Linked DNA regions of Drosophila melanogaster. The protein of the gene in region 2 interacts with the protein of the main gene of each other region in a pairwise test. Each region holds a gene or a part of one and is shown on either strand. Other genes may lie near its edges. The genes, in order: CG8388 and Snp.

Region 1 (4,661 bases), 6.1 Mb from region 2:
CGCACCCATCCCAGCAGCTGGCCCACTGTGATAACAATAACGCCCTTGGACATCATGCTCAGACCCAGACCGCCGGCCAGTTTTTCCGAGCGGCAATGCGCCGATATGGTGAGATTGTTGTTGATTACAGTGGCTGATTTCATCATGCCTGTCAACACAGACATGGTGATGATCACGGGCAGCGTTTGATTCTCGGCAAGCACACAGCGAGCGACAAAGAGTCCAACAATGCCGATCAGGAACACTACGCGATAGGGTATTCTAAGGTGATCTGTGACGATGGGCAGCAGCAAACGGAACACAATGTCGGCGCCAGCCACAAGGGACATGCAGAAGGCCACCATTTGGCTGTTAAGTTGTGCCGTTTGTCCAAGAAAACCAGGAAAGATCATCGTGAAGTTTATGGTGGCCGTATAGACTAGAGCCATGCCCACAATGATGCTCCAGAATACTAAATCTTTGAGCAGCTCCAGATCCATTGCCTGTACCAACCGCTGTCCCATTCGGCTGCACAGAGTATCCACATTTGGCGGGCTACGCTCGATCTTGCTTTGATTAGTCGGAACAATCACCACCTGAAGGGGACTAGTCTTTTCCCCATCGGCCTCGGTCAGGAGTCGAATGTGTTTGCGGTTGTTGTGCTTGGCAGGTGGGTTTAGTGGTTTCAAGAAGGCAGCACCAAAAAGCTGTAAGGTACTCGGGCTGTAAGCATTGGATCAACATAATATTATATTCTTAACTTACCCCAAATAGTGATAGGGAAGACATGGATAGGACTGCGTAGCGGAAGCCGTGGTTATCCAAGAGGTAACGCACTAGGTGAGGGATAAGCACCTGTCCAAGGCCAGCACCTGCCAATGAAACACCTACAGCCCGTCCTCGTTTAGTGGTGAAGTACGAGTTAATGGCCATGAATGTGGACGGCGAGATGAGGCCGAGTCCAAAGCCTACGAAGAAACTGTAGCCCAGAATGAAGTGCCAGCTTTCAGAGGCAAAGGCGCACAGAGCCAGGCCCAGGGCGACTAGGATGCAACCTGTAGCAGCTACATTTCGCGGCTTAAAGCTCTTAATCGCGGGTCCAATGAAGAGGCCAGAGAAATTGAGAGCTAGGCTGTTTAGATTCGTGATCAGGGCCGCCGTAAATGTGTCCTCTTGCATTTTCTGCAGCTCACCCACAAAGAGCTGGCCGAACACTGACAAAATGGATTGGTTGGTCATCTGGATGCCGGCATATGCAATAAATATGTTTAGTTTTGGGTATTCCTTTTAAAGACTATTGAACACTCACATTAATCAATGCAACGGCGGCCACCACAATCCATCCGTAGCCCCCATCGGGGACAACGCGACTCGATTGCACATCCATGACTGTGCTCTCCGAGTTTCTCGTCGAGATTAAGCTGGCTAAAAATATGTAAACAGCGATAAGTGGACTGTTATTAAAACGTCTGGATTTGTTTATGGCGTCTAAAGACAGGTGTAAAAGTGCGTTCCGATAAGCCCGGCGAAATGGCATTTACCCAGTGGAGACGAGTTGAACGGCTCGTCTCAGAGATTTCCCCAAACTGCGTGGCCATTTCGCAAGCAACGTTTTAACAAATTAAGGCGAATTAAAGCCTAAATTAAAATAAATTAATCCCAAAGTCACAAAACTTTGAATCAGTATGACCTCTCTGCGAATGCCATAAAACGTATATTCGGAAATATTGCGCACTTCCAGATATTGCGATATGCACCTTCTTTTTATGTGCGAAACTGTCAGTACAGATTCGTTTAATAAAATATTTAGGGTTTACTTTTCCAGATAGTGCTTATCTAAGTGCTTATTATAAGCAAGTGAAAACAAATAACCCGAAGTTTTTAATTCAAAAACACGACTATGGTCCCACTATTCTGGCGCCGCTTATCGATAGCCGCTAGCGATGACAGTAATCAGCTGTGCTTTGCCCTGTTTTCATTTGTAGAATAACACACATTTTTAATAATTTTTTTTGTATATTTTCGCGCGTCTCTCTCACAAATGCCTTGTTTTCTGTGCACTCAGACTGTGGATGATGCGGCGGGCAATATAGAGTTTGCCTCGGAGGAAGCCGATTCACTTGGCCTGCGGTGCATCATCGAGAAACACTTCTGGCTTCAGGTAAACAAACAAATATTACCTGTGTTATTATTGTTATTGTTATTGAAGAGTGATCTTTTTCAGATCCCTGACTCAAAAAGAGCCGGCTATGTGTGCGGCCCCTGCTGGGAGCAGCTACTGCTCTTTCACAACTTTTACCTCAATGTGGAACAAGCCCACAAAGCGCTGGAGCAAACTGTTTTGAAGGAGACATCTCCGCCAGAAGTGGTTGCTTCCGCTCTAGAAGAGCACATCGTTAAAAGCGAGCATGACGACAGCGTAGCCGCTGCCGTCAAACGCCGACGTGGACGTCCTCGAAAAGTCGCTCAACAGGATGCACGCGAGGAGTTGAAGAGCGTGCTGGAGCAAATCAATTTAAATGAAATAAAAATCGAGTTCCCCGAAGCTGACTTGACAATTGCCGATGTGCTTGAGGATCAGGAGGAGCAGGATTTCCTACCCGACGACTGCATCAGCAAGGAGGGAGCGGAGGATCCAGAGGTTTTGGAGAAAAAACCGCCGACGCTTAAGCGAAAGGTTAGCGGACGCTCAAGAGGTCGTCGACGCGTGCAACTCGCGGAACGGCCCAATACAAGCTGTCTGCCCAAAATCCAGAAATCACAAGAGTTTAATGATTATATTCGCGAGCACTATAAAGTTCAGTGCCACATCTGTAACTTGCCAATGGAGGACTTCTCCGAGATGCTGGCCCATGTACGACGGGAGCACAAGCAGCGCGGCTATGCAATGTGTTGCAACCGAAAATTCCTTAAGCGGGGAGTTCTTGTCGACCACTTGCGCCGCCACCAGGACCCTGAAACCTTTAAGTGCTCCATCTGCGGCCGCGTGATGGGCCACCGTCGAAGTCTTGAGTTGCACATGCGCATGCATGAGATCAAATCTCGCGGACGACTATACCGCTGTGAACAGTGCTCCAAGGCCTTCTACAGCGCCGTCGTCTATGAGCGCCACAAGCTGACTCACATTCCACGAGAGCAGTGGAAGGTCCCTTGCACGCACTGCGAGAAAACGTGAGTGACCGAAAGATTTACTCTTTCTCAGATAGCTACATTTGTATTTTTCAGTTATCCCAGTCAGTATACGATGCAGCAACATGTTAAGCTGGTCCATTTGAATTTATATGCCAAGATCTGTGATGTCTGTGGAAAATCGATCAGAGGACGCGAAGCCTTGGCCAGGCACATGGAGGAGCACACGGGAGGGCCGCAGGCAGCAATCAAATGCCACTTGTGCGACTCAATGCTAACCACCAAATATGGACTGGCCCGCCACATAAAAATGATGCATACCGCTGAGAACCTGCAGCCGATGCAGTGTGAATTTTGTCTTAAGATATGCCCCAGTCTACAGGCACACCAGCACCATATCAAGTACACCCACAATACGGCACGTAGTCATCAGTGTCCTATGTGCGAAAAGGCCTTCAAGAGACCAAATGAACTAAAGGTAATTAGCGAAATCAGTGACCGATGAAAGCAATTGATTTTGAACTGTTCTTGCAGGAACACATGACAACCCACACGGGCGAGGTTTTGTACACATGCCCCCATTGCCCGCAAACCTTCAATTCAAATGCCAACATGCATGCGCACCGCAAAAAGGTGCACCGCAAGGAGTGGGAGGAGAACCGACACAAGCGACTGAATCGTTCTCGCAAATCAGACACCATCATCGCCGTCAGCGTACGAAAGACCACAGAGACCAGGCAGGATGGAGGGTTGGTACCTGCAGAAGCGATAGCAACTACCAGCAGCCCTCGAGCAGAATGCTAGCCCTAGGTGACCTTTTGACGCAATAAAAAACCAAATGGGACACCGTACCCCTATTGTGATGACTGCAGTGGCGGGGTAAACAAATTATGTGATTATTAATTGAAATCCCTGTGTCGATGGGATCAACCGGCTGAAACTGGTTTGTCCATCTGCCCCCCGATCATCTCGAACTGGTAAAACGGACATCGGAGCTGGCGTTATCAGCGATTAAGGTCGAATCTGGTAATTCATAACACATATAGACGCATATAGCACAACGGTTCAGTTTAAATACTCTTATTTTGACGACGACCAACCCGGGATGCTTCAACGGCTCAGGCAGACGGAGAAACCAGTTTGAGTCGGTTTGGAAAAGTGGATTTAATCCTTATCAGCGAATTGGCATTATCATGGTATCAGTTCAAAGGTATCATCAATCGGCGTGTGTGTTTGTACACATTCTAGTCTTCTGCGGAATCCTCAATCTGTGCCAAAGAAATGACTAGGCACGTTATGATGTTTTGTTTTTTCATCTGTGGCAACATCTTATTTACCAATGGAATATTTGGAAAGTTTTGCAAGCCACACATGGTGCGACGCAAATCTGCCATGATCTATTGACCTTTTTTTTTGCATCACCACTTCGATGGCTGTGATTCCCATTGGTTTAAGTGATTCCCACTGATCTATCCCTTACTTATATTTTTGAGTACCTATTGATTGAAATCAAGAAATGTAATCTTTTGACTTTAAGCAAACATTTTTGGGTG
Region 2 (4,945 bases):
TGTGCGCTGCAAATTTGCGGCTGGCACTCCACATATGTACATACGTTTGGTTTGATTCAATTGTTGCAAATAATAAGCTATAAACTGAGCAATAATAATAAGTATATTCCGTTTCTGCTACTGCCACTGAGACAGTTCGCACAGCTTTGTTTACGATCTTAAACTGGCCGTAAAGGCGCCTACGTTTTTAGCCATTTAGGTGTTGAAATTATAGATAATGCGATCCTTTACTTAATAACAGCTAGATTCGTAAATAGCATTACAATTTATATGAGAACCACCCAAAATTCGGATCTTATATGTATATTCAAACCGATCTTAAGCGTATTCAAGCACATTAGCTCATTTGTTTGTTGGTTTGTTTTTTTAAACGGGTTTTCGTGTGGGAATGAGAACTAGAATTCGATGTGCGACCAGCTTGGAAATTGCGCAACTTTACAAAGATAGCTGAGTCTACTCACGAGTGGATGGCCAAGACCTCCCATTGATCGATCAGGTGCATTTTGGCCAAGACAAAGGAAGTACTGCTTATCAATCGAAGATCTACGACTTTGCTGAAGTGGAGTGACAAATCGAACTGAGTTAAGATTGACAAAAGTTATAAAGCACTGATCTTGATTGGAAGCTTTCATTTGATGCCCCATGCGCGTTGTTATTGCGGCCGCAAGATTTCCATTTATAGAATACTACGCACTTCAATTAATGAAACAGTCATAATTAAATTAAACAGTCGCCAGCACGAGTCGTATAACAATAGGGCTTTCAAACAGCCCGAGATTACGCAGATACATAGTATGTACGTACATATATGTATATGTGGTATGTAAATACGCTCCATGTGCGCAGGGTGCTATTTACAGAGTAACTCGAGACCATGTCGTCATATAGATTACTCGCTTTATCAATGCAGCCTCCCGTTTTAGTTTTATTGCATTCTCATTGTAGTCCACAAAAGTTTCCACTGCACAGCCATATAAATATGAATATATATATATATATATATATATATATATATATAAACATGCATATATGAGGTGGTGGTACTCGAAGAATACATACTGTATGTTTCATGTGCAAATTGAACTAGCAGGTCAGGCGAGGACATATTGGGGCCATCGGGCCGCGATACAGACACATTCTTTGTGGATGCAATCTGCTGCACTTTTGCAGCTTCCACTGGGCCTGTCATCCGTCATCTGGCCACCGAGATCTGGGGATTGGAGTGAGTGGTCTCGTGTTCACTTCCAATTACACTCAATTACCAAAGTCCGTGTCCCAGCAACTCTGATCTCAATTGCTGAAAGGCTGGGAGTTATTTTTGGACCACCGAACCCCTTCCAGGGAATGGGTCAGGTGAATCACTGCTCCAACTATGTGCGGACCATTAGAAGTGGGGCACTCACAGTGCAGCAAGTGCAGCTCGGATCCTCCGGGCAAAGTGTATGTGGCGTATGGGATAGTCCCAATTCTGATTGCTGAGCACGCGGCCAATCAGTCAGCGGGCCATCAATCAACTGATCGCAAACTTAACGCCTGTGCGCCGCTTGATTAATTTAATCATGTGTGATTTGCGACTGTTTGGTTTTTTTTTTGCGAACGTAAACAGCAAATAAATAAATATCGGAGTCTATAGTGAAGGGGATAGTGGATATAATGGCGTTGGAAATTCGATAGCCAGATAGCTAGTTTGTTTAGTTGTTGTACATGCTGGAAAAGTCAACAAACGAAATCGAGAAGGTAAACAAATACATTGTTAGTTGTTAGACAATAACAGAATTAATTGCACAGACCTCACGTAAGTTTTCCTATTATTAGCAGTTCATTTGAAATTCAGATTATCATAATCCTACGTTCGCTGTGTTCTTAAGTTTATGAATTGATCTTGTTCAAATTAGATTCGATTGTTCGTTGTGTGTTCTAAAAAGTAGTTTAATCTGGTTGCGAAACTGGTATTATGAAGATTTCGAAAATATTTCATGCGAAATTAATTTGGATCTAAGCACAAGGATGTTTATTTTTGTAAATGTAAATGTACTGGTATTAAGTATATCATATTATCATACAATTGAAATACATAAATATAATTGTATGTATATCTACGATTCTGCAATATGCTTAATTATTGTTATCATCGTTTTTCCGAGTCCCTGATTACACTTAGCGATATTTGAAGTGCGTTTCAGGGGCGCCAAAGTGCATTGACCAACTTCAATATCAACAACTCGTTGCTGGGAAATAAATATTTGCCCGAAAGTTATTACACGGCCTCAAGCGCTTTGCTGTTGACCAAGAGGCAACAATAAAAAAAAAAGGCCAGGGCCGGATTTTTCAGGCTGCGGACTTTGTTCTTTTGTCGGAAAATGGAAATGAAAAATGGGGTCAGTTCAGGTCAGCACGACAGGATGACGGGGCCACAGAAAATCAATTTACGTGGGCAAGTGCTGGAAAAACCCCCTTTCGGTGGAAACTCCGCCCCTGGCCAACTTAATTGCGGTTTGTTAAGTGGAAAAGCAAAGAAAGAGAAGGTGGACTACAACTTTCAACGGGAAAATTCCTATACACATACTTTATAGGTAATATTAGCGAGAAAACAGAATAAAAACTCACCTTGCTAGTTTTATCAAGGCCATTTCTGTTTTTCGATTTGACTGACGTTTCTCTGATTTTTCTTCTTTTTTTTTTTGGCAGGAGCTACTATTTATGCTATTCGAAATTCGTCGGCTTATTTATTTATCTCCCTATTCCCCTTATTTTTTGCGATTTTGGCAGTGCAAGTAACGGTAAACTAGGAAGAAGTTGAGCGAGCCGAATTCCTTTTGTTGTCTGCTCACTCACACGCACATGCCGACACACAAACAAACGCGCGCGCACACAATCGAATTTATTTCAGCCGGCACAACAAAAACACTGCGCTTTTTCGATACTTACGTTCTGCTTTCTGCTTGTTATTTAGCTATTTATTTAACTCGTTTTTTTTTTACATATTCCCGCACGCACACTGGGTTTTTTCTCTTTGTTTTTTTGTACAGCCTTTCAGTCAAGTGCATTTGGCGATTGATGAAATTGCAACTGCAAATGCACTATCCGCCAAGCCGAGTATTTGACCGGTCAATAGAGATGCACTCCTGGTATTTGCATATTTTGCGTGCCTGTCGGTATATTCTCGTATAGCTGCGCTTGCAGTCCGCATCTAATATTCGGTAGTAACTCGCTCGGCGTCCGTTCACAAATGCAGCGGCATTGAATCGGCGAAATATATCAACCAAATTGCGATATATCGATTTCAGGCGACGAACAGCTGTTGCATCCGAGCTTCGAACCTTTTCATAATATTCAACACGCAGTTGAGCTTCCAACCAATTGGGTTACGTTCTCAGCCGCAATGGCGCTTTACAGTACAGAAACATAGTTTTCCTAACAGAAATGTTAAGTTGAAACGTAGAATAGAAGTTGATTTTTGAAAAAAGTTCTGGCATTTGACACGTATTGTATTTTCTCATTATAATAACAACAAACCATTAAACCAAAATGTGGGAGCAGCTAGCGAGATATCGCAATCACTTTCTGCAACACGAAATCAAGGATGTGATGAAGCCGACCTCCATAAACAGCTTGCAGACTACGGGTAATTTAGTTGCGATATATAATCAGCGAAGGATAATCATAAAAAAAATGGATTACAGAGTGGACGCATCATATGGAGAAACGGAATATTTGCAAGTGTATGCCGCTCTGCTGCAATTCGACCTCGACGCACCTGGCGGATCGTGCTGAACTGGCCTACGGCTGGTTTGCACTGCCCAAATTGCTCAAAGAACTGGATAGTGATGTTAGGCTGACCCATTGGAAGGCAGTCGTATCGTTGTCGGAATTCGTTCTAAATCCACTGAATGCCCAAAGAGCTATCATTGAAATGGACCTTGTTAGAAAGTGGGTTGTCTGCATTGAGGAGTTTTTTTTTTTTGATATCATCCAGTTTCTATCCTACCAATAGGTTGAAGAATGCCTTTATGCGTATGAGATTGAAGCATCACAAGGAGGAGCACCGGGAGGTGGAGATGTATCTAAGGATTTATAGTAAGTTGAAGGTTGTGTGAATTCTTAGAATAAGCTTTTATTTCTTAAAGATATACTATCCCGCAATTTGGATGGAGCCGAAAATATAGCCAACCGCAAGTGCTTAAGGGTGGAGTTTTATAAAATCATTAAGAACCAAGAGCCTATTAAGGATGAATTGGCTTCAGAGATATTGCGAAATTTGACATGCAAGCCAAAAGGTGAGCTCTGCATGCACTTCATTGGATTTAACGGTGTTATATTTTTTCCTAGTTCTGGGTATATTCCTGGAGGATCCTGAAAACTTTTCCGCCTTAGCCGAGATCTTCAGACAGGATCCATGCCGTCCGCAATTCCCGTTGCATTTGTGGCATCACCTGTGTGACATGCTGGAAGTGGCACCCGATCGGGGCATCGAGCTGGGCCTCTTCGAGCTGCTGCACTCGAGGATCCTAAACCGCTTGTCCAACTTCTGGGACATGAACACCAAGGCATTTGCGCTGCTACTCTGCTGTGCTGAGGGTCAGCGGCGTTTCGATGCCGTGGATGGTGTAAAGCTGCTTTACGACGTCTTTGCCCAGCCCGATGAGAATCCGCGAATGTTGCTGCCTCGCCAGAAGGTGGAGAACTGGGAATATACGGCTTTGGCCCTGCTCAATGGGCTCCATAGCAAGCGGGCATTGTGGCGCAGCAGGGAGTTCACCCAACTGCCGTGTTATGTGGGTCGTCTCATGACTTCGACGACGGATAATCCCCGCCTGCAAATTTATTGCCTTAAAGTGTTTCGGGAGTTGGGTGTAATGCCGTGCATTAAGCGCTACATCATTGGCAACTGGCTGCAGGACATCTGCAAGTTGTTCTGCCTGGATGCTGATGCGGAATGCGCCCG

The links.
Region 1: the proteins of Snp (region 2) and CG8388 interact in a two-hybrid assay, tested with the Drosophila melanogaster proteins (one large-scale study listed by BioGRID).

Annotation. Positions count from the first base shown.
Region 1 is NT_033778.4:16,008,698-16,013,358, reverse strand, and holds CG8388 (uncharacterized protein), read left to right. Parts: upstream 1-1,920; 5' UTR 1,921-2,020; coding exon 2,021-2,140; intron 2,141-2,203; coding exon 2,204-3,150; intron 3,151-3,204; coding exon 3,205-3,586; intron 3,587-3,642; coding exon 3,643-3,912; 3' UTR 3,913-3,958; downstream 3,959-4,661. Other genes in the region: CG8389 (uncharacterized protein), read right to left, coding at 1-686, 745-1,218, 1,289-1,366.
Region 2 is NT_033778.4:22,059,244-22,064,188, reverse strand, and holds the start of Snp (snipper), read right to left. Parts: upstream 3,240-4,945; 5' UTR 2,631-3,239; coding exon 2,608-2,630; intron 1-2,607. Other genes in the region: CG13501 (uncharacterized protein), read left to right, coding at 3,529-3,625, 3,684-3,930, 3,995-4,077, 4,128-4,277, 4,330-4,945. UniProt on the Drosophila melanogaster protein: A broad-specificity exonuclease, capable of degrading both structure-specific DNA and RNA targets without sequence specificity in vitro. Requires two to five unpaired nucleotides in the 3' region for efficient binding and nuclease activity.